Linked DNA regions of Lonchura striata. The protein of the gene in region 3 interacts with the protein of the main gene of each other region in a pairwise test. Links are inferred from orthologs where the notes say so. Each region holds a gene or a part of one and is shown on either strand. Other genes may lie near its edges. The genes, in order: PDGFRA, FGFR4, MAP2K3 and RASSF1.

What was found.
Region 1: the proteins of MAP2K3 (region 3) and PDGFRA come close enough for resonance energy transfer, tested with the Homo sapiens proteins (2 studies listed by BioGRID). The link is inferred for Lonchura striata from reciprocal best matches to the Homo sapiens genes MAP2K3 and PDGFRA.
Region 2: the proteins of MAP2K3 (region 3) and FGFR4 come close enough for resonance energy transfer, tested with the Homo sapiens proteins (2 studies listed by BioGRID). The link is inferred for Lonchura striata from reciprocal best matches to the Homo sapiens genes MAP2K3 and FGFR4.
Region 4: the proteins of MAP2K3 (region 3) and RASSF1 come close enough for resonance energy transfer, tested with the Homo sapiens proteins (2 studies listed by BioGRID). The link is inferred for Lonchura striata from reciprocal best matches to the Homo sapiens genes MAP2K3 and RASSF1.

What each region holds. Positions count from the first base shown.
Region 1 is NC_134606.1:26,993,041-27,000,244, forward strand, and holds the start of PDGFRA (platelet-derived growth factor receptor alpha), read left to right. Parts: upstream 1-4,197; 5' UTR 4,198-4,212; coding exon 4,213-4,227; intron 4,228-5,849; exon of another isoform or gene 5,850-6,071; intron 6,072-7,204. UniProt on the Homo sapiens protein: Tyrosine-protein kinase that acts as a cell-surface receptor for PDGFA, PDGFB and PDGFC and plays an essential role in the regulation of embryonic development, cell proliferation, survival and chemotaxis.
Region 2 is NC_134617.1:3,321,019-3,328,657, forward strand, and holds the start of FGFR4 (fibroblast growth factor receptor 4), read right to left. Parts: upstream 3,012-7,639; 5' UTR 2,957-3,011; intron 2,605-2,956; 5' UTR 2,573-2,604; coding exon 2,500-2,572; intron 1,545-2,499; coding exon 1,275-1,544; intron 1,171-1,274; coding exon 1,081-1,170; intron 959-1,080; coding exon 792-958; intron 706-791; coding exon 582-705; intron 306-581; coding exon 115-305; intron 3-114; coding exon 1-2. Other genes in the region: ZNF346 (zinc finger protein 346), read right to left, coding at 7,336-7,441. UniProt on the Homo sapiens protein: Tyrosine-protein kinase that acts as a cell-surface receptor for fibroblast growth factors and plays a role in the regulation of cell proliferation, differentiation and migration, and in regulation of lipid metabolism, bile acid biosynthesis, glucose uptake, vitamin D metabolism and phosphate homeostasis.
Region 3 is NC_134618.1:15,094,142-15,102,061, reverse strand, and holds the start of MAP2K3 (dual specificity mitogen-activated protein kinase kinase 3), read left to right. Parts: upstream 1-4,904; 5' UTR 4,905-4,944; coding exon 4,945-4,960; intron 4,961-7,920. Other genes in the region: protein NATD1, read right to left, coding at 815-911. UniProt on the Homo sapiens protein: Dual specificity kinase. Is activated by cytokines and environmental stress in vivo. Catalyzes the concomitant phosphorylation of a threonine and a tyrosine residue in the MAP kinase p38.
Region 4 is NC_134614.1:8,485,296-8,492,158, reverse strand, and holds the start of RASSF1 (ras association domain-containing protein 1), read right to left. Parts: upstream 3,006-6,863; coding exon 2,756-3,005; intron 1,808-2,755; coding exon 1,686-1,807; intron 1-1,685. Other genes in the region: ZMYND10 (zinc finger MYND domain-containing protein 10), read right to left, coding at 4,275-4,359, 4,997-5,122, 5,317-5,438. UniProt on the Homo sapiens protein: Potential tumor suppressor. Required for death receptor-dependent apoptosis. Mediates activation of STK3/MST2 and STK4/MST1 during Fas-induced apoptosis by preventing their dephosphorylation.

The DNA.
Region 1 (7,204 bases), on a different chromosome or scaffold from region 3:
TGGAATGTTTCCCTTGAAGTTAGTTACACCAGGTTTACACAAAGCAGGATCTGGCCCAGTTTCTACATTATACTCATTCTCAAAAGATAATTAGATTAAAAAGCAAAATATCTGGCTAAAAAAAGCCATCAGTATAAGGATGATAATGTAACTAAATGCTGCTGTATCCTCTGCTCTTGAGCCACATCAGAGCTTTCCTGTCAAAGTCTGAACTGTAGCTTCACATGCATGGCCACAGGAACCTTTACCTGCATTTTCCTCTCATTTCACACTCTCACTTCTCTCTCCAAGACCACCTTGCTCAAGAGGAGTGCATATAACTGAGTTCTCTAAAGGATTGTCAACAACAAACAGGCAAATTATTATGTAACTGAGGCAGAAAATGCTCTCTGCAAATTACATGAGGTACAGACTAAAACAAGTTGATCTTGGAGAAAAAGGCCAAATAGTCTTTTGGAGAAGACAAAAAAAAGAGAGGAACTGTTTCCCTTGACATTTCAATATTTCAGTCTCTCCTGTGTCTGAACTAAAGAAAGAAAAATGAGAACATGGGCATTGGCTACTTCTTTGAATGGCTTGAGGTGTGATTGGTGCCTGCTTGATTCCTTCCATCACTGATTAGGGCCACAGAACCTTGAGTACAGGGGACAAACAGTGCTGCAAGAAGAATGAACTTGTGATTCATGTCTCCTGCTGACATACCTCCAGCATAATCTTGGTAAATTTGAGTAAAATGACTGAACAAATTCAGTGACTAAGAGGAATGCCTACATTTACTTCCAGGTCTGGAACCTTTTGCTGACTCAACAACATGGATGCTGTCTCTTGCAACTCTTAGTGGTGGCTCCACACAAACCCCAATTCAGCAAGCTCTTAGGAAGCATTAATGCCTTTCCATCATCTCAGTCCTTGGGATGGGGAAGATCCATGTTCAGAAACACTCCATGCCACAGAAATAGAGGGACAAGGTTTTGTTTGCAGGGGTATTTTGGAGCATGAAAGATCGGGTGAAGAGAGGGATCCTTTTAGAAACCTAATTACAATTCATTAATCTTGGCTGTAGCTCCAGTATTTCCACAGCAAATCACCCCAAAGGTGTGTATTTATCACTAAGTATCAGAAGAAAACCTGTTGTTGGATGAAGCAGAAAAATGACATCCCTTGCCTGGAACAAGGGGGTTCCGGGTACTCAGTAACAGATGTGTTTCTCTCCTCAGTCTGACACTTTATGATGCTCAGCCTGTCTTGGCTCTTCAGTGCCCACAGTAGGAATGTATGGTGGACGGGAGCAGCCCAGGCATACGCGGGGACCGACACAGACGCGGACGCTGGCACATGCCCACTGTGTCGCAGTGACCACGGCCGCGACATCCAGGGTGGCCTCCATACCATGCGGCTCCCCCGTGCAGAACTCAGGGCTGGGTTCCCAAGCACAGTAGCCCGAGGGGAGCAAAGCTGGTACTAATAGTAAATAGCTGCAGAACGAAAGCAGCTTGCTCTGGCTGTGGTTTTGTCCTGCTGTAATCCATTAATTGCTGCAGCTCGAAAGAACAAAGGCAGAGATAATGGTCTCGGGAGTTACGAACCGAAGTCAAACCTGGGCTGAATCAGCAGACGACCCTTTGATTTCAGAGGGAAAACTTATCATTTGTGGCACGGGAGGAATTTATCTCTCTGCTTTGCTTGCCACATCCCCCGAGCGGCTGAGGCGGGTCCGGGCCGGCCCTACAGGGCTGGAGCCATCAGGCTCCCGGGACGGCGCCTCTCGCCATGTTCTCCGAGCCGCCCGGTCGGTGATGAAGCGCAGAGGCAGCGGCGGCTGGCGGGGCGCGGTGCCGCGCCGGGCTCGGCCGCCGCTCCCGCGGGCTCCGGTGCCCTCTAGTGTCGCGGGGGCGCTGGCACTGCCCCGCGCCCTCGGCCGGCGCTGCAGGCACCCCGGCCGCGCTGCCTCCCCTCCCGTCGGGGCGGCGGCTCGGCCGGGGCCGCGCTCCCCGCCCGGGGGTCGGGGCGGGGCGCGGAGCCAGGCGCGGCGAAGGGCCAGGCGGGTACCAGCCCCTTTCCCCCCTGCTTGGCCTCGCCCCCGAACTGCGTCCAGCCTGCTTCTGGACCACAGCGGGCTGTTTATTCTGTCGCAGTCAAAAAAGTCAGGGCGGGAGCAAAAGGGAAAACAGTCTGTTTTTTAAAGAATAAGGCGTCCACGGCTCTTTTGGCGTCTTTTAATGTCGAGAGCCAAACGCAACAATGAAAGCAAAACAGCTCGACGTCGTGGCAGCAGCGGCCTCGGTGGGGAAACGGCGGGCATGGGGAAGGAAAACGATAGTACGGAGAACTACCTCGAACAGCCATGTGGCAAATAAAAATAAAGGCTAGGGAGGGCAGGCTGGGCAAAGTTAATTTCTTTTTGTCTGGCTGCCTGTCCTCCCAGTGACACGGGATCCCTGCTATTCAGAGCCAAATTTTGTTGAACAAACAAAATGAGGGAATCTGTACTCGTGGAAAGATGGAAATAAATAAAAATCTAAAAATCTGGCAGGACTGTAAATGTACACAAGACCCTCCCACCGCCAGAACACTTTTCCCGAAGGGGCTCGGGCCCCTGGAGTTTCCGAGCTTAGCTCGCCTTCCTAGGCGAGGCAGCCTTCACCGCTGTACTCTCTTTCCTAGGCGATAGATGTGAACACAGATGTGAGGCTGCTCTGCTTTCTCCCTCTCTCAGGGGTTGAGGGGTCTCTGCTTCAGGTTGTAGCTGCTCTTCACGCAGGGGCTTCCTGCTCTAAAAGGGAAAAAAAGGATGACTACTGCTCCGTGCACCGCTGAACGTGGGTAACGATAATTAAACCCAGACAAGCCTTCCCATCCAGTCAAAAGGCTGCGGCCCCTCAGCGGGTGTTCCAGCGGAGCCCGGGCCGGGGCACCCTCGCTCGCCTGCCCGGTCCCGCTGGTGGCCACACCAGCCACCTATTAGATTGTTCAATAGGCTTAACCAGTTAACCGCTGCCGGCTCACCCTTGGGAGAGAGCCGCAGGAAACGCTTTATTACTTGAAACAAATTGTGATTTCTCCAGGGAGGGGGATGCTGAGCGAGGGAGAGGGGAAAGGGGCCTCGAAGGCTCCCAGCCCCCCTGGAAGCGTCTGAGAGTGGAGAGACCCGCCCCGCAATAACCCGAGCCGTCGGTGCTCCCGCTGCCCGGACTCTGACGGCGCCGCGGGCCCGGGGAGGGGGACACACACACCCGCCCACCCCGGGGGGCAGGTTGGCAGCATAAACAGGCGAGAGCGGCTCTAGCACGGGCGCCGCACTTCGTCTGAGACGTGCAGCTTCCATCTGGTACCACATAAACACACGTTAACGGGATGCTTTATGCTCCAGCCCTTCAGGGGAGGGGAAGGCGGGAGGACAGGGGAGATGTAAAAAATCCCCCACCCCCAGCCTGTCCTCTCGCTAACCCCATGTCCCCCTCGCCTCCGTGGACGGGACCCCCCTGCACCACACGGGGCGGGAGGCAGAGCTCAGCAGCCGTCCTGGAGGGTTTATTTTAACTACCACCTCCCCAGCGCGGGACCAATCCATAGGCACCGCCGGATCCCTCTCCCTGAGGGAGGAGCGGGCAGAGCCCAGCTCCCGCCGGCTCGGTGCTCCTGGGGTGGCGGGCGTGGGGAAGGGAAAGCTACGTCGGGGAAAGCTTTCCCCGGAAGGGTGCCTGAGCGACGGTACACCTCCGCCACTGTTTCCGCAGAGCCGTCGGGCCCCCGCCCGAAGGGCCAGACTGGCCTAGCAGGCAGCCTTGCCAGTCGCCTAGTTTAAAATTTTTATTTTTGGCTGGGTCTTGTGAGATCCCACGTGGAAGCCGTTAACGACCTCTCGATAATGATCGTGACAAAGGCATTATTCAAATGAGGCAGGTAATTGCAACCAGAAGGCGCCTCCTCCCCTTCCATTTTGCTCCTTTCTTTTCGAAAGAGTAATTCTCGCATTACATCCCATCCTGATGGTATTTCGCCAGGAATCACCCCGCGTGTTGAACCAGATACACTCACGCCGGTAACATCGCGGCCCGAGCCCTGCAGGATCGCCCCGGCGCATAGGCAGTTGATGCTCATCTTTGAGGGGTTTAAATTTGCGAGAGCCCGCAGCTCTGATCCAAGTAATGATAAAGCATTTCCCCCTACAAATTAAGGGGTTCAGGATGCTGGGTGCTCTCGCACTCTCAGATGGAGAATTCCAGGGTACGGTGTGGGTTTTTTTTCTCCTGTGTTGTTTGTTTGTTTGGTTTGGCCTTTTTTTTTTTTTTTTTTTTTTCCTTTCCTCCATGCCTTTTTGACTCACTGCGAGCCTGTTGTTTATTCACAAGCTTTACGGTATCCTGTTAGCATTCCGACCAGGGTCTGCTCATAGATCTGACTCCGATGATTTCCTGGAGGAACATGTGGAAGCAATAGCGGGGTTGTGCACTCACCCGAGCCGAGGATGCACTAGTGGAGGGCGTGCAAAGGGCCGGGAGCGCCGCCGGGAACCTTGAGAGCCCAGACAGGGGTACCTCAGCCCTGAGCGCGCATCCTTGGGAGTTGGTTCTCGTTTCTGCCTCTATTCTCTTTAGGGCATCTTCGTTTCAGAGGCTGAACTCTCCCTCGCTTAGGAAAGAAAAAAACCACGGGGTCCTGGCTCTTGACTTCGAGACGAAATTTTTGTTTAATACTAAATGGGAGAAAGAGGTGTGGGTGGTGGTTGTGCTGGACTGGGGAAGGAAGGAAAGGGGAGAAGCCGCGGCACACAGCTGTGGGGCTGGTGCCCTCCCCAGAAGGCAGGCGGCGAGCAGGGACCGGCTCCATCCTCGCCGTTCCGTTCCTGGGGCTGCACTGCCCCCTCTCCCGCGGCCGCCGCATCGCCGCGCCCCGCTGGCCCCGCTCGCCTCGCTCCGCACGAAGCCTGCAGCAAAAGGGCGGCGAGGGCAGCTCCCCGGCAGCTCCCTCGGCCACCCCTTATCGCCAGTGATAGCGACGGCCAGCAGAGCAGAGATACCCAGTGCTGGTTCCCCGGCGGGGATCAAAGCTCCGTCTGGAGCGTGTTCAAACAGGACGGGCTCGGACGTGCGCTGCCCGCGCCTCTGCCGGCACCTCCGGCTCTTGTCGTGTCCCTGGTTTGGTTATTACTGGGGTCTGTTTGAGCTGGGCAAAGCGAAGGCAGAGACGAAGAGAAGAGTGTTCTCGGTCCCGTCGGAGCTGCGGGCTTTGGGGAGGCTGGCTCTTGGCGAAGGTTACCTTTCGTTGTGTCTTTCATTCATAAATGTTAGCGATTCGTCTCTCCCCCTGTCTCTCTGCGCCTTCTGGTCCTGGCTGGCTCACGGCCGTCCGTGCAGCTTTCTAGCCCAAACCCGAGCGCAGCGGTGTACAAAGGACACGAGGAAGCCGCGAATTCGTTTCCAAATCAAACTCCCCATCCATAAACTCACACGGTAAGCGTGGACATCGAGCGCGGCGCCCGAGCCACCGTCCTGGAGGGTCTGAGGAGGGAAGACTCATTCATGAAATTTGGGAGCACTCTTGAGTTTTCATGAAAGTTTTTTGGGTAATTTTTTTTCTTCTTCTTTTTTTTTTTTTTTTTTTTTTTTTTTTCATTTTCTCCCCCTGCAGTGCAAAACTCCCCGCTTCCCCCTTTCCTCCCCCTCGCCCCTGCCATATGGCCAACCTCCCCCTCCCCTGCAAGGCTGCTGAAATCTGGAGGCAGGGACGGCCCCCCTGCCTGCGTAAGAGCCTCCCTCCGGCGCGCCCGCCTCCGGCCGCGGGGCTGGGGGCGCCGGGCGAGCCAGCACGCTCTTATTCTGAAGGGGCCTGAGGGGGGCTTCATTTCCTGACAGCTATTTACTTAAAGCAAATGATTAGTTTTGGAAGGATGGTCTATAACATTGAATCAATTACGGGACGCGGTTTGTGAGACCATTACAGTCGGATCGGGAGGGAGGGCGAGCGGGAGGGAAAGAGCGCGGCTGAGCAGGGAAAGTCACAAAAGACGTGGACATATTTTGGATGTTTTACAATCTGCAGGATTGGGGCTGCGGATTGTAAAGGAGAAGGTAAGAGGTGCGGGGCATTTTCCCCACCTTTTTCGTTTTTTACACCTTTTCTCCCGCGGTTTTCTCCTCGTTTATTTTTTCCCGTTTTTCTTTATTTATTTATTGGGGGTTTTCTTCGTGTTTTTTTTTTAATTTTTTTTTTTTTTTTTTATTTTCCCCCGATGCTCCGAGCCGAGCGGAGGTCTTCTTTCCGCGGGGCGCAGGCGGTGGGCGCTGGCGACCCCGCGGAGGGGAGTGGGGTGCAGCGCTGCGCCGCGCCGGCCGTCGGGGTGCGGCGGCGAGCAGCGCGGGCAGCGCTAATGACAAACACATTGGGACGGCGGCAGCCACCGCGCCGCATTCCTGCCACGGGGGCGGGAGCGACCCGCCGGGGCTCCGCGGGCAGCGGCGGTGCCCGCCCCAGGGGGGAAAGCGGGGACGCGCACCGACCAAGTAAGCGGTTCCCTCTCTTCTCGCATCCCTCGCTTCCTTCACCCCGCTGCTCTCCCGTCCCTTCCCCCACCCTTTGTTTTTCATCACCTTCCCTCCTTTAGATCCCCTTTCTCACCTCGCTCCCCCTGGCCCGGTAGCCTAAAATGCCCGAGATCCCGAGCGGAGGCACGCATACAACCCCCGAAAGGCGACCCGATCTCCATCCCTGCGCGCCCCGTCTTTTTTTTAAAAAGTGTCTCGGTGAAAGGGAGGATGCTGAATTTAGACAGGGCTGGTACCTGGAGCCTTTCCAGCCTGCAGCTTCTCTCTCAACGGGAGTGCCAGCCCTGCCGTATGCCCTGCCGGACTGCTGGACCCCACTGCCTCCTACCCCGGGAAGGGCAAAGTCTTCGCGGCCACCTTCTGGATTTTGTCAAGCGCAGAGCTGCAAACTTGCCAGCCTCTGCCAAGCTGGAGTCCCCTGGAAAAGTCCTAGGAGCAAGTAGGAAATGGCTTTTTGGCTGTCCACGGCATTGCTCAACATTTTTGGACGCGGATCCCATAGCTCAGGAACCGTTCCAGAGAACAGGACTTGGACGGCTTTTTCTGCAGCAGCAGCGACAAATCTAGCAAGGCAGCAGCAGTCCCAGGGCACGGCCGCCAGCCCCCGGGGCTCGTCCGCACCCCGTCGGGAAGGCGGCTGCGGACCAGAGGCGGGAGCG
Region 2 (7,639 bases), on a different chromosome or scaffold from region 3:
GTCTGTCAGAGAGGGATGGACGGTCAGTATCCCTCTTCCTCAGGGAGCTCTGTGCACCCCTGTCACCACCTTAGCACAGGTATCTGGGACCTGAGTGCTTCCAGCCCTTGTTACCTTGAGCACTTGCACATAGGGGACCCCGTCGGGGCCGTAGTTGCTGCCATTCACTTCAATGTGCTTCAGCCACTGGATGTGGGGCTGGGCATCACTGTAGACCTTGCAGAAGAACTCCACATCGCTGCCCACCAGGGCTGTGGTGTTGGCAGGCAGCCCAGCCTGCAAAATGGGCCTGTGCGGGGACCTCTCTGCACACAGGGAGCAGAGCAGTGTCACTAACATGGTGGCCCAGAGTACAGGCTCCTTTCTCCCTCCTTCTCCACCCACCATGGAGCCACATTGGGCCCTTCCCCAACCCTAAAACAGACCAGCGCAACCCAAGCCTGGTCTCCATCCCATGTCCCTGGATTGTGAGGGACATGTGAGCTGCATCAGTGGGTAGGTCACAGAGGCTCCTCCACCCCTTTCTCTGACCCCACCAGGTATGGGGAAGCCCAGATCAGCACATGCTGAGGAACCCTCACCCAACACATCCAGGAGGTAGCTGTAGCGGATGCTGCCAAACCTGTTTTCCACCAGGCAAGTGTAGTTGCCACGGTCAGAGGGCACCACACTCTCCATCACCAGGCTCCAGTGCTGGTGCCGGAGCTGCAGAGAGGGAGGTAAGGCAGTGAGGTGAGCTGGGGAAGAGGGATCCTGGGAGGGAAGCTGTGGTGGGAGGAGCTGTCCCATACCCGGATGCCCCCGATGCGGTGCTCCCCTCGGAACTCTCGACCATTCTTGAACCAGCGAATGCTGGGGCTGGGGCTGCCTGAGGCCGGGCAGCGGAACTTCACCGTGTTCCCCGCAGGGACTGCATACAGCTTCTTGTCCATCCGGTGTGGGTGAGTCCAGTAAGGAGCTGGGGACGTGCAGGATGTACAATGGGAGGGGGCCTGTACAGGTAGCAGGAGGCAGCAGTGCCCCATGCCCCTGGTTCTGCCCCACCTGCCCTCTCCTGTAGTGCCCTGGTGTGGCACTGACCTCTGTGCACATAGACCGACTCCTCATTTCGGTCTCCGTGGGGACTGTCCCCATCACTATCTTCATCATCATCACCTGATGCCAGGGAGTCTGCAAAGGGAAACGGTTGAGAAGGACATCCCTGCCTGCAGGGCTGGGCAGGCAGTGGCTGCTTTGCTGCCCCAAGGGTAGCTGGGTGCTGCCGGGGCTCCTACCCACGACAGAGATGGTGAAGTTGCGCAGGACCTCTCCAGTTCCCCGTGCCCGGCACACATAGAGCCCTGAGTCCTCGTAGGTGACCTCTGAGATCTCCAGCAGGCTCTGACGGAGGTGGATGCGACCTCCTGAGACGAGTGGCCGGGACTCCTTGTACCAGACCACACTGGCACCACTCTGGTTGGCATCACAGTACAGCTTCAATGTGTTGCCTGGGTCCAGGAGGAGATGTTCATCTTCTGACTCCAGCAAGGGGCTCTCAAATAGCTCTGGAGAGATGTGGTGAGCACCCACCCCAGTGCTCACCCCTCCCTGATAGCAGGACCCCTCCATATGCCCATCCTAGTGTGGAGAGCATGTGGTGTGACACAGCCCAGAGCCTGGCTCTGCCACCCTAGAAGCAGGTAAGGGCTGGACTCTGACCTGAAGCACGGGGACATGATTTCCCCAATGGCATGTCCCTGGCCAAGGCCATACATGCCACTATCCTTCCACCACTCCCAGCGGTGCAGGGTGCTCCAGCTTGCTCTGCCTTACTGAAGGAGGGCAACAAACCCCTCCAGACACCCATCGTCGGACCTCTACATGCCCCAAGCATGGCTGGGACCCCTAAAGCCTGGTTGTCCCTGGCAGTGCCCGGCTGGCAGTGGAGCCCAGCTTGCCGATGGCCAGCAGCAGCATGTGCCCGTGGAGGGCAGAAACAACCTGGTCGCCAGCACAGCAATACCACGGCAGCACGACTGCCCATGTGCAGGAGCCTGGAGTGCACGAATGTGCCTCCAGCCCAGTGCATGGCCAGCACAGGAGGGATGTGGGGCAGCTGCTCTCTGGTCCCGGGGGACGCATCCTTCTCCCGCACCCACCACCTCGAGGCACGCACTGCCCGCATTTCACCAGGTGTCACACACAGCAGCCACAGCCCACAGCGGTCTCACAACCCCTCTCTGCCACGCGTGTCCAGCGAGCGAGCCAAGCCCCCGCAGCACAGGGACAGCCTGGCTGGAGCCACCCTGCCCCTGTCAGTGATGGGAACACCGGTCCCTGTGCCCTGTCCCCAGTTCCCACCAGCCCTGCCCTGCAGGCAGAGCGGTGGGGCTGCATGCCCAGGGCAAGCACTCGCATCCCAGCCCAGGGGTCGCCGCCCAGCCGGGATGGAGAAAGTATTCAGAAAGCAGGAACCCACTCCCACCGCCCCCGGGTCCGCGTCGCCCCCCGCAGCCGTACCTGGCTCCATCGCCCTGCCCCGTGCAGCTACCGCCAGCAGCAGCCCCGCCACGACCTGCAAGAGGGGCCGCATCTTCCAGGCCCCCCCAGCGCGGGGGTCCCACCCTGCGGGACAGGCAGGGTCGGGTGAGCGGATCCGGGCGGGCAGACCCCTCCTCTCCCGAGGCACCGGGGAGAAGCAGTGCGAGGTCCCCAGGTCACCGCGAGGGTGGGTGGGCATGGACGGGAGGCAGAGCACGGGGGTCCCTGGGCAGGAATGGGAGGGGGCACGGAGAGTGGGAAACACCCCGTTTGAGCGCCGGGAATTCGACCTCTCCGGCCAGCTTCAGCCTGGTCAGGGCTCTAGGGGAGGTTAACCGGGGGCGGGGGACCACGGAGAATCCCAGGCAGGGGGGAGTGTCCCGGGAGGGGGGGCCCGAATGGTGCCGGGGGCGAGGGTCGCGGTCGGCGCGGTTACCGGCGGTGACGGGCTCCCGCGGCGGAGCCGCCTGCGCTGCGCGGGCCGGGGCAAAGTCCGGGGACAGCGGGCTCAGCGCCGCCGAGCCCCAGACCGTGGCCCCATGGCGGCAGGGCCGGGACGGCTCTGGCTCCGGGCTCGGGACGGCTCCGGCGGCGGGCAGGGCTGGGGCTCGCTCCCGGCTGGCTCCGGCCCCGCTCTGCCGCCGCCTCGGGGGCGCGGGCACTTTGTAGGGACGCGCTCGGGTTACAGCGGCCCCGCCCGGAGCGCTGGGGAGGCGGGAGGGGTGGGGGGACGGGGACCGGCCCCGCATCTCCGGCATCTCTGCAAACCGACCGACCTGCCGCCGAGCTGGACGGGGGAAGGTGGGGGGTAGCACCGGCCTTTCCCCCGCAGCGGCGAGAGGCGGCCCCCGGCCCACTCTGTCCCGGCTCCGCCGGCACAGCCTCCCCTCGCGGGTGGGGAGCACAGGGGGCTGCAAAACACCCGGGGCTGCTCCCCTCTGCTGTCCTCCAGGCAGACCCCACGCGTGGGGAGCAGCAGATGGGACAGGGGGCAAGGCCACCCCTGTTTCCCCCCGATTGCTGGGGGTGGGAGCACTTCAGCCCCAAGCAGCTGTCATGGCCCAAGCTGGGCGCTGAGCGTTGCTGGGTGCCCAGCAGCCCACACGCTAATTGGCTAATTGTGCCATAATTAGTTGTAGCGTTATCGCTGTCAGTGCCATAAAGTGGCTGTGACCCTCATTAGGAGCCCATAACGGAGCATCATAAAACGTGGCTAAGGTGCGAGCCAGCGTTGGAGTGGCCTAATCCAACCCATAAACACTTCGCCCTCACCTTCCCTATGCTGTTGCCTGTGCTGGGGCAGGCAGACCCCACCATGCCCAAGCCCTGTTGCTGGCTGGCCCATACAAGACCACTGGACACTGGGGGATGCCTGGCCTTAGGCACTTCGAGTTGGCGTGATCCCAAGGAACAATGTCCCCTGAGCATCCTGCTGCCATCAAGAGGGGTCAGTGTCCCCCAGTACATGGCCAGGGTCTGGCCCTAGAGTTGCTCTCCTTTCCTGCATTGCATCTGTTTCGCCATCTGCTTTCCAGCAAGATCTTCCAGGGTTATGCTGAGCCCCACACAACAGCCTTGCCCATGCCTGGCGTGGACCTTGTGGCCCTGTGAGTGGGGTACACTGTCACTGTCACCCCTCTTTTTGTAGGATCAAACCTGAGTCCTGGGCACAGCCTTGTCCATGCTGCTCCACTGCACCAAACCATCCAGCATGACATGGTTTCACTGTGAGGTCTGGTTGGTGCTACAATCTCCCATAGCACCATCCACCCTGTGCTGCTCCCCATCTGGAGTACTGGTGTGTGTCCCCTTGGGGTGCAGAGGTGCACAGAGCAGTCCTGGGGGCCAGCAGCCCCCAGCAGCTGTTCATTCCTGCTGACGCGTGAAGCGGACGAGAACATCAATTTCACGGAGCAGCGGCCGCCCCTGCAGAGTTCACAGTGTGCCGGAAGCACAGAAAAATGTTGGGTTCAGCTCAATTCGAACCAAAACCAAATTAAAACCAGAGAGAAGGGGATGTTCCCAGTATTTGGAACACCAGGGAGAGCTGGGACTCTGGGGAGCCTGTGGGAGACACAGCCTGGGATGAACATGGAAAGATTCCCTGTATCCCAGGGTTCCCCAATGCTGAGTGGAAGAAGGGCAAGCAGACCAGTGTGGGCATGTTGCCCAGTGTCACACTGAACATCCCCACTGGGCCAGGACAATGCCAGGCACAGGCCAGGGCTTGGTGGGGCTCTGCTGTAGGCAGCTGGGAACTGGTCACCTCCCTGCCATGGGGCAGTGCTGGGCTGGGGCTGGGCTGCCTGGCTTGATTTATAACAGCAACTGACGGCAAACAAAAAGCCCTTCACAGCAGCCCAGCCCCACCGCCTGCCACCCGCTGCCGGCAGCACCACAACGGCTTCTGCCACGCCAGCAGCTCAACAAGGGGGGATTGTGCCAGCACAGCACTCTGCGCTGTGGGTGCACCCCTGCCCCAGCACCCTCCTCTGATGGCCATCTCCCCCAGCTCATGGGCTGCCCCCATCACTGTGGCACAAGTGACAGCTCACAGCGCGGTGCCCAGAGATGAAGTGTGTTCTCAGAACTTCACAGATGTTGCAGAGGGATCCCTCTTACCCCATGTCCCGTTGGGAGAGACGACCCCCTTGCCAGATCCTTGGCCTTGCTAATATGTGCGGGGCCCCGCAGCAGCGAGCACGCACAAGGGGCCGGGCGCCGGCATGCTGGGGCTCCATCCTCCCGCCCCTGCCCCTTCCCCCAGGCAGTAAATCATCCCCACTCTCCTCATGAAAGGCCCATGTATGTGCTGCCGGTGCAGGGAGCCTGCCTGGTGCCAACAATATTGCTCTTGGAAGGCAGCCGGAGCTGCGGGAACACAGCCGCCCCTTGTGCCTGGCCCCAGCACTTGCCGCCACTCCCGCTGTGGTGGCACCTGCGGCCAGCCAGAGCCCGCGCAGCACGGTGGCTCCTGTGGGGGCCGGAGCCTGGGGGGCTCTTTCCTCCTGGAAGTTTCTCTTGGCCTCTCCTGAACGGCTCTTGTTTGGGGCACAGAAGCCCCAGCTCACTGTACGTGCACAGGATCTGAGGCTGAGCATGCTCATTCAATGTGCTGGGGTGATGTGAACCTTCTGGCACTGAGGGAGTGGGTCAGCCCTGGAGCAAGGGTTTCCAGCTCCATCCAGTCCACTGGCTTCAACATGGTAGCTTCCAGCCCCAGCCACAACCTGCTGCCCTCATATCAGTGGGGGCCCGCTGAGGAAGGGAGGGAGCAAGCTGGATAGGCAGGCAGCTGCCCCAGACTGGGCAGGATGCTCTGCAGGGGCTGGGTCCTGCCCTGGAGGCAAGCAGCCAGGTTTGGGGCAGTATGCCCCATCAGGCCGTGGTCTTTCCTGCCCATCCTTATCTCTGGCTGGGAGGGACTGATGGAGCAACCCAGCTTGGTTAAGGTTTAACCAGGCAGAACTTGGCAAACATAAGCCTGCTGCTCCCTCTGGGGAGCCAAGAATGTGGGGCCCAGTGCAGGGGCTGCAGGACAGGGATATCAGGGACCCAGGCTTCTTCTAGCCCCCAGCATGGCACAGGAGCATCCACAGACTTGGGCAGTGAAGGCTGAGTGGGGAACACACAAGTTGAGGGCAATATGGCAGGAGGGTGGGCAGTGTCATGCCTTGTCCTGCTGCAGCCCTGCCACCTCTTCCTCCCCTGGCTGTGTGGGGGAGTGCTGCAGCTGCAGCTGGCACGGGGAACGAGGTGCATGGGGCCAGAACATCTCCTGCTCCCCATGGGAACATGGCACACACCATGTGCTGGGTTGGGCAACACAGTGCTGATCTGTGGCCAAGAAAGCAGGAGCTTTACTCACCAGCCCTGTCCCCTGCACAACATTTGGGGGTTCAGCCTGGTAAAGCAGCAGCCATGGCAAGGAACTGCAAAGCAAGAATGGGGCCACCCAATTTTCCCAGCCCCTAATTGTAAGCAGGCACCCGGTCCTGACTCCACATCTGCACTTGATTTACTCAATGGAGCCTGCGGGGCCACGAGGGATGGCAGTGGCTGGGACTGTGGCCAGGACTGAGCTTCTCCTGGCTGAGGCAGGGATACTGGGTGTGCTGCTGGAGGAGCAACAGGCTCCACAGAGCTGGCTGCGGCCTGGGCAGGGGACTGTGGTGCTTCTGTGGAGGATGTGGCTGCTGGGTGGTTCTACGCTCTGTCCTGCGCCTGCCAGCCCAGAAGGCGATGGAGTTCAGACTGGCGACACAGCCAGAGCTGTGGCCCGGGGCAGGGAGGCGCAGAGCTGGGCCAACAGCACACCAACACCAGGGCACACCTAGGGACAGGCACCATGCTCCATCCTCAGCTTCCCGGCCATGTGGGTGGCTCTGGTCCCACAGCCAGGCTCCAGGTCCCCTCCTGTCATCCTGGGTGTGCCCATGGGTGCTGGTGCCCTCTGACAACAGTCCAGCAGCAGAATGGGCAGCCCACCAGAGGGGACAGGGAGAAGGTGCCACTACCAGCTTGCTGCCAAGCCCTCCTTACACCAGATAGACACTTCCTCTCACACCACACCCACCTTCACAGGAAGCAATTACACAATGAAAACTACTCTAAGGGAGTGAAGTATTTGCTGTCTAGCAAGTCTCTTCCAGCTGGATCCTTTTCCTGACAGATTCAGTCCCCGTTCTGCTCAACGGGTGTATACAGGAGGGTAGGGCTTTGCTTATCCAGAGGGATAATGAAACCATTGTGGGCTGGCAAAGGATGTGCGCTCTGGGGCCACCAACAACTCCGAGAATAGTGCTGCAACTTGCTCTAGAGGTCTTGGCTGAAGTAACTATAGCCTCCTGGGCCAGTTGACTCTTCCCGGACATACTGTTGTGGCGGGAACGGTCCGACAACCGGCACTGCTCCTGGCATCCTGCACGTTGAAGGGAGCAACAAAAAGGAAAAAAAGGAGACAATGTCACAAATGCTCTGAAATGTGCCAACTGCAATCACTGCTCAGCAGGCAAGGCTGTCAGCAGAGCAACAACCCACTGCAGCCAAGGGAAGATTTGCCAGAAAATCTTCCAAGTGAATCCCTGCTCTCTGTGCCTGTGTGTAAACAGACACCTTT
Region 3 (7,920 bases):
GCAGCGAGGCAGTTTTACCCAGAGTAGTTCTCAGTATGACAAATGGATGGGAAAGAGATGCCGGGATCGTTGACTATCTGTAATTAACCATTAAGATGAAGGCTGGGAAAGAATCAGTGCACCACAGAGAAATTTTAGTGGCACCTACTTTTTTTTTTTCTTTGTTCACTCCACCCAATATGTGACGGACTTTTTGGGGGTCACTGTGTCACCAGAGCTCCACAGGTGGCTGTCACAGCTTGGATCCGTGTCGTTGGTCCTACAGAACCGCGGCACCCACCGTGCTGGGGTTTCCCTGAAGGAACATCCCCAGAGGGGCCCCGGTTCCCAGCACCCCCACATCCCCCGCAGGCACCTGCTCCCGGGGGGACCGGGGCAGTGCCCCCCAAGCTGCCCGTGTCCCCACCGGGCTGCACACACACCCCAAGCGAGGGAGCCCAGCGATGCCGCATCCCCTGCGAGAAGGTTTTGGGGTGCAGGAAGGGCTGGGGCGGGGGGTCACACCGCGGCAGGGCGGAGAGCACGGGGGAAATGCAGCGGGACTCAGCGGCACGGCAGGAGGGGGAACCGGGAGAAACGGGGGAAATCGGTGAGAACGGGAAAAAGGGGCAGGAAGAAGAAGAAAAAAGGGGAGAGCAACGGGGAGGAAGAACAGGGAGGGGAAAGGGGGGAGAGACAACGTGGGGTGGGGCGAAGGGGGGGAACAGCGAGAGCTGAAGAGGAACGGGGATCCGGAGCGGCCAGCGCGGCCGGACCGGGGCGGAGGGCGGAGGGCAGCGGTAACGTCCCGGGAGCCCCGAGCGCCGCCCCTTACCGTTGAGCCGCACGGTGAACTGCCGCCGCTTGCGATCGTGCTCCACCTGGATGGGGCAGCCCTGCTCCAGGAGGCCGAGCGGCGCGGAGTGCGCCATGGCGGTGCCGGTGCCGGTGCCGAGGCGCGGTCGGGCCCGGCGCGGCCGCGGCCGCAGGAAGCCCCAGCTGTGCGGCACGTGCCCGCCCCGCAGCCAATGGCCGCGCCGCGCTTTTGTTTTGGTACGGCCGCGCGGCCCTTAAAGGGGCAACGCCAACGCCGCCGTGGGGACCGCAGGCAGCCCAGGCGCCCCCGCGCGGGCGGCGCCGCCACCAGCGGCCGCCGGAACGGCGCGGGTTCGGTACTGGTCCCGTGCTAATTCCGCACTGGTTCTGTGCAGATTTGTCACTGGTACTGTGCTGGTTCGGCGCTGGTCCCGCACTAATTCCGCACTGGTTCCGTGCTGGTTCGGCACTGGTCCCGCACAGGTAACTGTACTGGTTCTGTACCGGTCCCACACTGGTCTCACACTAATTCTGCACTGGTTCTGTACTGGTCCCACACTAATTCCGCACTGGTTCTGTGCTGGTCCCATACTGGTTCTGTGCTGGGTCGGCACTGGTCCTGCACAGGTTCTGTACTAGCTCTGTACCGGTCCCGTTCTGGTCCTGCACTAATTCCACACTGGTTCTGTACCGGTCCCGCACTGATTCCACACTAATTCCACACTGGTTCTGTGCTGGTCCCATACTGGTCCCACACGAGTTCTGTACTGATTCTGTACCGGTCCCGTTCTGGTCCTGCACTAATTCCACACTGGTTCTGTGCTGGTCCCATACTGGTTCTGTGCTGGTTCGGCACTGGTCCTGCACAGGTTCTGTACTAGTTCTGTACTGGTCCCGTTCTGGTCCTGCACTAATTCCACACTGGTTCTGTACTGGTCCCACACGGTTTCTGTACCAGTTCTGTACCGGTCCCACACTGATTCCACACTAATTCCACACTGGTTCTGTGCTGGTCCCATACTGGTCCTGCACGAGTTCTGTACTGGTTCTGTACTGGTCCCGTTCTGGTCCTGCACTAATTGCACACTGGTTTTGTACTGGTCCCACGCTAATTCTGCACTGGTTCCGTGCTGGTCCCACATGGGTTCTGTACTGTTCTGTACCAGTCCCACACTAATTCTGCACTGGTTCTGTGCTGGTCCCGTACGGGTTCTGTACTGGTCCCACACTGACCCCACATCGGTTCTGTAGTGGCTCTGTACTGGTCCTGCACTGTTTTTTACCAGTCCTTTACTGGCCCCGCACTGGTTTTCTGCTCTGGTCTCCTGCTCTTTCCCCGCTCCCATCGAGCCTGGCCCCAAGGACTGGGTGTCTGCTGGGCAGAGGGGTAAATTCCCTTCCTTCTCCATGAATGTTGGTGAGGAGGTGTTGTCCTTCACCCCATCCCCTCCCTGGCAGCTGTGTGCTGCTGCAGGGAGGCACAAACAGCAGGGGAGCGCAGGGAATGCAAAGCCTGCAGCAGCCAGGCCCAGCACGGCTGGCGTGTGGCAGGGAGGAAGGGGAGGGATAACTGGCATGATCCCAGAGCTGTCAGGGAGGGCTGATGCCCTCCAGCACACAGGGATGCTCAGGACACAGCAGGGCTGAAGTTTTAGGAGAGAGGAGGAAGGAGAAGCAGGTTTTGCCCAGACATGGGTGAGCAACTCCTTACTGTCACCCTGTTCTTTGGAGAGTTTTAAAGTTCTTCTAAAAGTTCCTATGCCTTCTAATATTTACATATTTCTACTGAGTTTTCTCACACATGTTCATGTAAATAATAACTGTTTTACATTCTTCTTTGTGGGTGGAGAGAATTTATAGACTGTTAGCTTGACCAGTGCAGCTGGAGAGGTGGCAGTTTCACCCTCCAATCCACTACCATTTTTGCTAATGTATATATAGTAGAGTCAGAAAATAAAGTTTACTTTTTTGAGTTATTTTTTCTTTCCTTTTACATCCAACCTGCTTCTGTGAGTTATTTCATGTCACAGTGTAACACCTTACTGCCCTCGGTGATCGCCCTGACCCAGAGCCAAAGGTTCACCTACAGCCCCTGAAAGCATGGAGAGCCTTTCCATGGGTGCCAAAACTGCAGCAAAACTTGCCAAAATCTCTGTGAGCACTCGGGCTCCATGGGGATCCTGTGCCTGTGCTGATTCCCTGGGACAGCGGCTCAGACGAGGAGGGGCAGGCAGAAGCAGCCATGGGAAGCTGCAGAAGAGGTGGAGAGGTCCCCCAGGAGATCCCCAAGCCCTACCATGGCTGGGAGGTGACCTCGAGGGTGCTTCTGGTGCCTTCCTCACAGCTCGTGGGGGTCTGTGTGCTCCCTGCCTTCCCACCCTGTTGGATCTGGATGCTGAGTGCTCCCAATTTCCCTGTGTGCCCTGCAGAGCTCCTGTGCTGGAAGGCCTGGCAGCCTTGGTGACACTTGTGTGTCCCCTCTCACCCCTGGGATTGAGAGCCAGAGACTCAAATCCAGTCACTGCTTCATCCAGCCCTGGATGTAGCAGCCTCCAGGGATGCAGGAGGGGGATGGTGCACATTTGGGGACAGCAGGGCCATGTCCCCAAGCTCGCAGTGACACCCCAGGTGCTGCCAGCAGCAGGGCCAGCTGTCAGAGCCGGTCCCACAGCTCCCCATTTGTAAAAGAGCTGGTGATGCTCTGCTCTGCCACAGACCCCCCAAAACTCACACCCAAGCACTGCCTCAGCCCAGAGCTGTGTGGATCAGTTCAAACCCCGCTGCTGGCTCCAAGATCCGTGTGGATAAAGGTCAGAAAGGGCCCCTCAGCTGGCCCAGCCCTGCACTGACACCACAGCTCTTGCATCAGCGCTGCTGACCCGCGGCTGGGCTGCAGAGCAGTGGCTTTTTTGGAAAGACTCCTCCTCGTCTGTGTTGAAAGACTTGAAAGGTGGCGAATCTGCGACCTCTCTGGGGAAGGTAATTGCTCTCCCCGCTAAAAACCTGTAATTGATGTTGCATTTGAGCTCTTCCACCCTCAGTGTGCAGCTGGATCTGGTGCCTTTGGTGCTTGAGGCACCCGTGCAGCCACAGATCCCAACTCCTGCAGCTCCTTCCCTCTGGCAGCGAATCCCTTCTACTGCCTGGCTTTGAGGAGGTTTTTCCAGTCCTCAGATTTATCCCAAACTCTCTGCAAAGCTGAGAGCTGGCTGTGGCAGAGCAGCTGCGATCTCACCAGTGCTGCCAGCAGTTGCCACCCCTCCAACTCCTCCTTTGGTCTTTATGGATCACACGAAGAATTCCAGCCAGAAAATGGCACTTGGAATCTCATTTTTTTTGCTTTTTCAGCTGCATCTCTCACATCGTATCCAGCATTTCTGCCTGCAGCCCAGCTCGGGTGGCTGTGGGAGCATCCTTACCCCAGGATGTGCCACGTCTGGGAGGGGTTGATTCCTCAGTGACTCAGGGAGGAATTAACCATGGAATCAGAGCATCCTGAGCTGTAAGGGACACACAAGGATCATCCAGTCCAACTCCAGGCCCCCAAATCCCACCCTATGCCTGGGAACGTTGTCCAAACACTCCTGGAGCTGTGGCAGCCTTGGGGCTGTGCCCATCCCCTGGGGAGGCTGGGCAGTGCCTGGTCACCTTCTGGGGGGAATTTCCTTTCCCTGATATCCAGCCCAAACCCCCCTGACACAGCTCCGGCCGCTCCCTTGGCTCCCCGGCCATTTCCCAGCCGGACACGCCGCTGGCACCCACGGCACGCGGGACCCACGGGAGGCGTGAGTGACCACCCTCAGCTGACAGAGGAGGTGAGGGCCGAGGAGCAGCACAGGGGGGGATGCTCGGCGCCCCAACCCCGCGGCAGTGTCGCCGCTCTCGGGGCAGCGTCCCCGGGGCCACGACGGCGACACCGAGGCCACCTCTCCTGAGGGGCAGCAGCACCCGCCCGCCTCACTTCCCCCTCACAGCCGCGCCCGAGAACCGCAGAGCCGTTTCCGCGCGGGGCCCTGGCCACGCCCCCCGGCGCGGCGCTGGCCAATGGCGGCGCGGGGGCGGGCCCGGCGGGGCGGCCGCCGGCGGGGCCGCGGCGGGCGGGACCGGCGGGCGCCGCTGGGGCCGGGCCCGCCGGGCTCGCACAGCGCCATGTCCCTGCCCAGAGGTACGAGCGGGCTCGGGAGGGGCGGCGGGGCCGGGGCTGCTGCCCAGCCCGCCGGGCGTGGGCTCCCCGCGGCTTCCTCTGCGCTGGTCCCGGAGCCGCGATGCCGGGGGCTGCGAACCCTCGGTGGGGATGCGGGGTGGGGGAGACGGGGCGAGGCTGCGTTTGGCGTGGGGAGAGCGATAAGAACAGGCGAGCTGTGTTTGTTTGCCGCGAGTTTCGCCTGCCTGCCTTGAGCTCCCGCTGCTCGGGAACTCCGGGCTGGGAGCCGCGGGCCAGCGGAGCCCCCGCCGGGCTGGGCCGGGAGGGACGGAGCGGGCTGGGACTGCGGCCGTGGGCTGTGTCGCCTCGTGTCGCCTCGTGTCGCCTCGTGTCGCCTCGTGTCGCCTCGTGTCCCCTCGTGTCGCCTCGTGCCGGTGTCCGGGCACGGCCGGGACCCGGTGCCGGCGTGTGCCGGGAGTGCCGCGCTGCTGTCCCGCTGTCCGCAGCCGCGGAACGTGACCGTGTGTCACCGGGGTTATTCGCACAGCACGGTGACTCAGGTGCCCATCGCAAGGTGAGAGCACCGGCCGGCGGTACGTGCCGGGATGGATGGGGACAGGGAGGTGGCTCTGCCGGTGTCCCGGTGCTCCCCGGAGCCGGCTCCATCCGCGCACCGGACGGAGGAGGGAGCGCACGGAGTGCGGCCGCTGCCTCTCGAATCCGCGGAATAAAATTCGAGGGGTTTTCCCCGTGCGGGAGTGATGCTCTGGAAAGTCGAAGTCAGGAGCCATGTGAGCAGATGAACGCGCCTCCCGTGACTCTTTTTTTCTTTCCTCCACCTCCCCCCGGTTTGAAACGATCCGTGTCTTATCCGGAGGGAATGTGGACCTGAGTTTCCTGTTTGCTGTGTAAGCAGGGGGTGAATCAGCAGCGATTTTCGGAGCTGCTGACTCACAGGTAGGAGCACATGCCTCCAGCCATCCAGCCTTGGAAGGGATCATCCAGGCTTCTTAAAGGCTGGCACACCGGAGCGCAGACCTTTCCTCGGCTGCCTGTGCCGGAGCGGCGGATGTGTGGATGGAGGGACGAGGTGAGCCTGGCCCAGGGACCACTTGTGCCCCATGGGAGATGAAGCTCAAGCTGGGCCTGGAGGATTTTGGGGGAAGCAGCGTGGCTGACAGCAAGAGGTGATGCCTGGAGGAGCGCCTGGGAGCGCGGTGCTTTCCTCAGAGGAGGTTTGGAGCTGCTCTGTGCGTGGAGGTTTCTGTTGGTTGTGGCAGACTGGTTCATTCGTGCAGTTAACCCTGGTGTCCTGTGCTGGAGGTGTCACCCTGTGTGTGCTGAAAGCAGCTGGTGTCTGCTGGCAGCTCAGAGTCCCCGTCTGACCTGAGCTCCTTTGCTTCCATCAGGACAGCAGCAGCAGCACGAGGGTGGATCCCTGAGTGTGATCCTCCTCTCATCCTGCCTCTCCTTGGCTTGCACCTGCCTCCCAGCTGGTTTTTCCAGGGATGCTCACAGGTCTGAGTGTGTGTACCTGCTGCTCATGGCAGCTGCTTCTCTCTCTTTCAGGCAGCCTGAATTTAAGCTAAATTTCCCTGCTTTTCCTTAGGGAATTTCAGTGAACAATCTCAGGTTTCCTTTGCTGGTTCTCCTTTGGTTTGTGTTGCTCAGGGTTGTAAACAGAGGCTGCTGTGTTGAAGCTCTTGGTTGGCTCTTTTTGTGGCAGATGCCTTCCAAAACTCACCTGCCATCACTTTGGCTTAGTCATGGGGTTGTCTCCTGCCTCGGGAGATTTTTGGGATACGTGGCTGGCCGTGACACTGGTGACAGGAATGGTGCTGTGCCGGGGCTTTGCTCTGCACTAAACGTAGCTTGGGAGATAAACACCTCCTGGGGATTTTGTGGCTCTTAGGGAGGATTTTGGCTTTCTTTCTTCCTCTTCCCGTTGCTCCTGTCTGTTTGATCCAAGTTATCTCACAGGATCTTGTATGTGGGAGAAGTCTCCTGTGTTATCTTGCGCTGTTGAGGCTGATGTTTACTCATATATGCAAAAACTCCCTGTTTTCTCAGGTCACCCAAGTTCCCTCGAGCTGTGTCTCATGGCCTGGGTGGCACAGTAGGAAGGAATTGGGAGCAAAGCTCTGGAGCTGTCCCTGTGTCCTCCTTGCAGAACTTTGCAAGGGACACAGCCTCTGGCTGCAGCTGGCAACATGGGGCTGGGCCTGGCTGTGATTTTCCAGCAAGGTCTGCACCTTTTTGGTGAATGGACGCTGTGCAGAGAGGGTGTTGTAACCCAGAAGTTAAAGCAGGAGGGGATGAAGCCTCAGGGAATTTTCAGCCTTTGTGTGGGTGCAGAAACACAGTGGAGGATGCAAGGTCTGAGACTCTGGGGATACAAAACCCTTTTCCCTGGGCCTCAAAGTGTATTTTCTGCCTGCCCTGCACATGGAAATCCCTGTGCCCATCCCTGGGGCTGTTGGCTGTGACCTGAGTGGCCCCTGATGCCTGGAGGGACAGGCAGGAGTGTGCTGCTGGGGAAACAGTTGTTTCCCAAAATATTGGGAGTTTTCTGGGGAAAAGCAGCTGCAGGGAGGGGAAAGAGGGAGGGTGAGTGTATGGGTGGGATCTCGAGGGAGAAGACCTGCTTGTCCTGTCCTGGTTCACCCAGCACCGATGCCTGAGTAATTCAAAAACAAGTGTTTTTCCTTAGCAGGGAGATGTCCTTTGGGAATAGAAGTGCTTTTGGGGGGAGAGGGATCAGGATCTGTCTGGAGCCAGGCTGTGCCTCTGGGGAGGCAGCTCTCCTTCACCACAGAGGCTTGGAAAAGCCAGCAGTGAGGAATGCCAGGACTTGGGGATGAACTGGTGCTTGTTCTCGTGGCTTGTCTATTCTGGGTGGGTAAATAAGTGGTGGTGCCTCGTCCCTGCTGTGCCCTGGCCGTGCCCTCTGTGGGAGCACACCACTCTTAGGCAATCCAGGC
Region 4 (6,863 bases), on a different chromosome or scaffold from region 3:
CACCCCACTTCAAAGTGCTGGCCCCGCACACGGGGGACCGAGCGTCCTGGCTCGGCGTCGCTGCCACCGGCACCCGCTAATGAGTATTGACGCGGGGCCGCGGAGCTGCCACACAGCGCTGCACATGTCCCCACGGCACTGAGGGGTCCCCAGTCCCGACAGCCGCCCCACAGCATGCAGGCACTGCAGGACCCTGCAGGATGGGGACAGCTGTGAAGCTGCTCGGGGAGTTTGTCCCGGCACCCCCAAAACTCCAGCAGCTCCAGCCCTGAGGGGACCTTGGCATGCCCATGCCAGGCAGCGAAACTCCACTCGCCCCACATCCAACCGGACAGGGCCACCGTGTCCCCCGGCACGGCCATGCTCGACCCCACTCCTGCCCCACAGCAGGGCCAAGCTCACCTCTAAGAAAAGACCACCGACACCTCTAGTTTCCCCACGCACCAAGCCCACCCTCGCCTGCTCCCCAGCACCCAGCCGGGGGAATGTGCTCCCGATGACGTCACCCGTGTCCCCCATTACGTCACGGCCCGGGACCGACCTGGCGGCGGCGCGGGCGGCGGCCGAGGGAGGTGCGGGCGGTGTAGAAGAGCTCGGGCTCGGAGTCGGAGTCCTCCTGGCTGCAGTAGCCGCTGCTGGCCGTGCTGCCCCCCGTGCCCCCCGCGCCGCCCCGCCGCAGAGCCAACGCCGCCGCCCCGCAGCCCCCGGGCCCGCCGGCCCCCGGCCCGGCCACGGGCACGGCGGCGGTGGCGGTGGGCACGGCCCGGCCCGGCCGCCCCGCGGCCCCGCCGGGGCGGCGAGCACACGGGCACGCCCGGCCTCGCGCCAGCCCGACCGGCCCCCGGGCCGGGGCCCGGCTCGCTCCGCTCCCGGCTCGGCTCAGCCCGCTCCCGGTCCTTGGCCCGGCTCCGCTCAGCCCGGCCCTTGGCCCGGCTCGGCTCCGCTCGGTCCCTATGGCGTCTCGGCTCCGCCCGGTCGCACTCTCAGTCCCGGCTCAGCTTCGCCCGGTCCCTATCACCGTCCCGCTCGGCTCCGCCCGGCGTCTATCGCGGTCCCGTCCTCGGCTCGGCTCAGACCGGTCCCTATCGCGCTCCTGTCCCGGCTCGGTTCGGCGCGGCGTCTACCGCGCCCTGCCCGCTCCCGGCTCAGCGCGGTCCCCCCCGCCCCGCCCCGGCCGCGGGGTGACGCGGGCCGGGGGCGGCGCGGCGGCCCCGCTTCCGGCGGTGACTTCACCCGCGCCCGCCCGGACACGGCTGAGTCCCGGCTGCGCTCGGCTCGGCTCGGGCACGGTGTGGTGCGGGCGGCGCGGCACGGGCAGGACACAGCACAGCCTGGCTTGGCACAGCATAGCCCGACATGGCACAACATGGCATGGCACGACCTTACTCAGCCCAGACCAGCGCAGTGCAGTCCATCAAGGCTTGGCACAGCCCAACGTGGCACAGCATAGCCTGGCATGGTGCAGCCTGGCATGGCACAGCCTGGCATGCTAGCTGCACTCAGCTCAGCTAAGCCCAGCCAAGCCCAGCTCAGCAAGGCTTGGCACAGCCTGGCATGGCACAGCCTGGCATGCCATGCCATGGCCTCACATGGCACAGCCCAGCTCAGCCCCCCCGAGCCCAGCGTAGCCCCCAGTTTGCCACTCCCTGCGCAAGCTCTCCCTCACAGACAGGCACAGGCCTTACCACGTTGGTGTCCTTCTCCAGCACCTGCTCATTGCCATCGTCCTCATCACCAGCACCTGGGGGGCCACCGCAGTCCAGCTGCACCAGGGCCCGGCACCGGTAGTGGCAGGTGAAGCTGCAGTCTGGGGACAGAGACAGAAGCAGGGTCACCACTGTGCACAGCCTGGGGGTCAGGGCACTGGCTGGGACAAGGGCTGGCACACGGTGACAGCATCAGCTGTCTGCTCATGCTGTGCCCAGGGGCTCAGGGAGATAGCACTGTGCCATGTCTTGGCCAGGGCTGCTGTGTTCCCTGCTGTGCTGGCCAGCATGGTGTGCTCAGTGCCTGGTACTGGGCTGCCCAGTGTGGGTGTCTAGTGCTGGGATTCCCAGTGGCCAGTGTGGGTACCCCATGCTGGAATACCTGGTACCTGGTGCAGGTACCCAGTACAGGGATGCATGGTGCCGTGTGAGGGTATTCTGTATGGGGCTGCCAGTGCCTGGTGTGGGTGCCCGATCCAGGGGTGTCCAGTGTTTGGTGGCAACTCCTGGTGCCCAGAAGCCCAGTGCCTGCTGCAGCTGCCCAGAATGGTGATGCCCAACTTAATGGAAATGCCTGGCACCAGGATGCCTGGTGGGGGTAATTATTATTGAGGTGCCCTGTGCTGGGATGTTTGGTGCCTGGTGCGGGATGCCTGTGCCCAGTGGTGGGGCAGCCGGTGCACAGTGAGGGGGCCCACTACCAGAGGGTGGGGGCCCGTGGGGGTGCCCGATGCCCCACCCGCTGGTGGTGGGAGTGTCCGGTGGCAGCATGTCCGGTGCTGGGAAACTCATGCCCACCAGTGGGACAGCCGGTGCTCAGCGGGGCTGCCTACTACCAGGATGCTCGGTGTCCTGTAGAGGTGGCCGGTTGGTGGGATGCCCGGTGGGAACGCCCAGTGGTGAGTGTGCCCGGTGGTGGGGATGCCCGGTGCTCGCTGGGGGTGCCCGGTGCTGAGGAAGCCGAGCGGCGGGACGCCCGGAGCCTGGCGGGGGTGCGGGCGTGCCCGGCGGCGGGGGTGCGGGGGCCCGGGGCGCGGCGCGGTACTCACGGCGGCACTGGAGGCTCTTCCTGCCGCCGCCCCAGACGAAGTCCCCGCAGAGATCGCACCAGGTGTGCAGCCCGCGGCGCCGCGGCTCGAAGCGGTGCCCGGCGCCCGGTGCCGCCGTCAGCCGCGGGTCAGGGTGCGCCCCGGGGCCGGGCCGGCGGGCCGGGCTGATGCGCAGCGCGTTGGCCCGTTCCAGGCGGCCCCGGCCCGGCCGCGGCTCCGGCTGCAGCTCCCGCAGCTCGATGAGCTCCATGGCCCGGCGGCCGCGGGCGCAGCTCGGCGGCGGGGCGGGGGCCGGCACCGGGCCGGGGCCGGGGCCGGGGCGGGGATCGGGAGGGGCCGCCTCGATCGGGCACTGCGGGGAAACTGAGGCAGGAAAGATGGGGCTCAATGCCCCGGGCTCCCGATCGCCAACTCCAGTCCCGGCGAGCCCGGCGGGGCGGGCTGGAGGCGGGGATGAGGTTCCCGGAGCCGCCGCGGAGGAAGGGGGGCCCGCTGCAGCCGCTCCGCTCTCTCTGCCTCTTCTCGCAGGAGGAGGACAAACTGTGCTCCCTGCCTCAGTTTCCCAGTGAGGAAGGGGCTGGAAGCACCCCTGGCGGCGGGTGAGAAGCAGACCGAGAGCTACGGAGAGCGCTCCTGCTCCCGGTGGCTGCAGCCCTGGACGTGCAGCACGGGTTTGGGGTGAGGAGTTTATTGAGCTCCGGGCGCGGGCTGCTCAGCCGCGGCTGCAGCTGGACGAGATGGTTTCCTGCCTGCTGCCGTGGCTCCTGCAGCAGCAGCCTTGGTGCAAAGCTTATTTTTATGTGTCGGATTCTCCAGTGCCCCATCAGAAAAAGGACATGGCCAACCTTTCCCAGCTGTGCTCAGACCAAGGCTCCAGCCCTTTGGCAGCAGCTGCTGACCAGTGAGATGCACCCCAGGGTATCCCCACCAGTAGAACCTGTTTACTGGTAATGCTGGTGGGCAGAGGACCAAGCCCTTGGTGCTAACATCACATCAAGAGCGAGGAAATGGGGTGAATTGTCCCTGCAAGGTGGGAGATGACAAATACCCAAGAAACTCTTTCTCACAGCAAGATGCTCGTGCAAACCACATCCTCTGCTCCCCACGCTGCTCTAACAATGGTGAGACGGCACAGAAGCCTTCTCACTCCCTTCCCTCCCAGATGCAGTAAGGTAACCATACCCTCACAATTTTTTTCGGGTTCTCAGGGATTTCTGTTGTTGCAGAGAAAATGGACACACGCCTCCCACTTTGTGGAAAGGAGGGGACGAAGCAGTTTGTTACGTTCAGCTAGGAGAGAAAACACAGAAGCCAAGCAACTGTGGGATGCACAAGGAGGTTTATTGGAGAAGGCAGAATGGTGAGGTGGTGGGAGAGGAGAGGATAGCCCAGGCTTGTGCTGCCTGCAGCTGGGAGCAGGCAGAAGGGGCCCTTGCCAGCTTCTTTCCCGCTCTGGGCTACACACCAGGGGAACCTCCGACTCTGTGAGCCATGGGCCAGTTGCCAGACACCACTTTTCTTACAGACCATCCACACTCCTTGGCACCTCAGCCATCAGGTTGCAGGCAGGCTTGTGCTTCTGCCAGTGCTGCACCTGGCATGCCCTGCAGAGGGGGAAGCTGCTGTCAGGGGCACTGGAGTCATATCCATCTCTGTTGGCAAAGCAGCAAGAAGGACAAACTCCATGACCGCACCCTCTGTGAGCTGGGAGAGAGCTGATACAGCCCAGCATTAGACTAAGAGGGGGTGGATGCAGCCCCAGTGCTGGGGGTTAAGAAGGTTTAACGACAGACCTTGCCAGATGGTCCAGGACCAGAGATTTAATTTACTGCCACCGTCCCAGCTGCCACATCCCAGCTTGTCACCTGCACCCATGGGGTCATGGGTGCTTTCCTACTTGTGCCCCACCAAGGTGGGAGGAGGAAGACAGTGTCACCATGGAAAACCCAGCCTGTCACTGCTGTTGCTGTGGGCAGAGGCAGCTCAGCACCTCAGCAACATAACCTTCACCAACACCTCCTCCACCAGCAGCCCAGCACATCAGCCTCCCCACAAAATTCACAGAGGTACATGGCCAGCAGAGAGCTGGTGGTGCTGAGCAGTGGTGGGACCCCTGGCTTTGCTTGGCCCTCCCACAGAATTCTCCAGTGAGACCCTGTGGTGCTCTGGGGAGTACTGAGGAGCTGCAGGGAGGCCCAGGGGGGCTGCAGGGGTCCCAAGGGGGTGGCAGGGCTCCCTTACCGTGTGCAGTACCACTCGTTCCGGCAGCGAGAGCAGCGCTTGGTTGCTTCTACACCACACACCCTGCAACGGGGCTTGTCAGGGGCCAGAGCCTCCATCATGTCCAGGCTGTAGGTCTGTGCCCACCTGTGCAGGCAGAGAGGGATGAGGCTGCTTACAGGGAATGGCCGACAGTGAGCTATCCCTGTTGCACCCTGCCACTGAGGGGACATCTCCAGCCAGTGCCACAGGACCCCTCTGTCCTCCCAGTGACGAGCTCCAGCTCTGCTCATGGGGATACTGGTTCCACTGGGCACTCTGCAAACCTGCTCCAGCCTCACCTGCCTGCCTGCAGCTTCAGCTCCTCCTCAGTGGGGCTGAAAGCGTGCTTCACCTGGTGCTTGGCAATGGCCTCCCACTTCCCTGAGTTTTTCTTGAGGATATGGTCCCAGATGACAGGAACCTGGTGGGAGATGCAGTGCAAGAAGAAGAGGTGCTAACAGCCTGAAAAGGATGCTGTAATCTGGGGAGAAGGCAGCCAGCCCTATGCACAAGACGCATGGTCCTCCAGGAGGGCAGGCAGAGGTGGTCAGGGTATGCTTTTGGGTACATGGAGGGGATGGATCCACCCTCCAGTGGGCATTGAGATGAAACAAGGACCTCTTTGGGGTCCAGCTGGGAGTAAGTGTTCAGCCTTGAGGCCTGTGCTGCTGAGAAGAAAGCCCTGAGACCTCAGCACCCTGCGTGTGGCAGCAGAGTGAACCCCATGCTCCAGAGCCGTTTGTCTGAGCAGATTTTTCCGCTCGTCATTTCCCTGAAGATGAACACCCGGGGAAGGGCTGGCCGGCCAGAAGGAAACATCCCAGCCAAGAGCAGCGTGCTGAGTTCGGCTCTGGAGGGGACCGTGCAGCTTCAAACAGCGCTGCCTTCTCCAGCAGAGTAAAAATAGCCAAGGAAGGGGAGGAGGCTGCTCTGGAAGCAGCCAAATGGAAAAAGTCCGTTCCTTAGCTTGGCTCAGCAACAAGGAGTGAGTTCAGCACTCTCTGGGCAGAGCAGGGAGCCCATATCTGTGCTTCCCGCTGCCTCCCTGTGCCTGCCCCCAGGCTCAGCCCTAGCCCTTGGCAGGGGCAGGCACAAAAGCAGAGCTATGGAGAAGGGCAGCAGCCTGACTGAGGGCTACAGGAGGTCCCCAGCATGCAGCTGCTTGTCACTGTGCCACCAACACGCTGGCAGTCAAGCATGGGGTGTGAATCCATGTCCACCTTGCTCTGATGCCAGCCCCAGCCCCAACAGCTCAGCTTGCCATTATGCAGCTTCCCCAGCTCCAGCTCCCAGCCTGGGCCGTGTCTCCAGCTCAGCCACAGGCACCTCTGACAGGGCACATCACCCTCCTCCCAGGCCATGCCGCCAGCTGCGATGGGGACAGCGTGCTCCCATTGGGGACAGCGTGCTGCCACTGGGGACAGCCCAGACGGCCACTGCCCAACAGACCCATCTCCTCCAGGAAGCAGTGTGGGAGCCTCTGGCAGTGGGGAAGAGCCCCTCTGCTCCCAGCTTTTCTCAGCAGCCTCTTTGCAGATCTGCCCCCATACTCAGTTTCTCCCCTCAGCTCACAAGAAGGCAGTAGAAACACATAAAAACACTTTTCTCCAGAGATTACCACTGCATGGATTAAAGCCCCCAAGAACCTCTTTGCTGTTTAAAGACTTTCATGGCCTAACTCCCAAAGGCCCAGACACCAGCTGGGACCAGTTTAACTCCAGGCTCTATCACCAGACCATGATGCCCCTCTGTACACAGTGTGCCAAGCAGCCTCAGACCAGGGCTGTAAAAGGGTACTTCCCTGGGGAGTCCAGAATTCAACATGAAAACACTGATAGATGTCAAA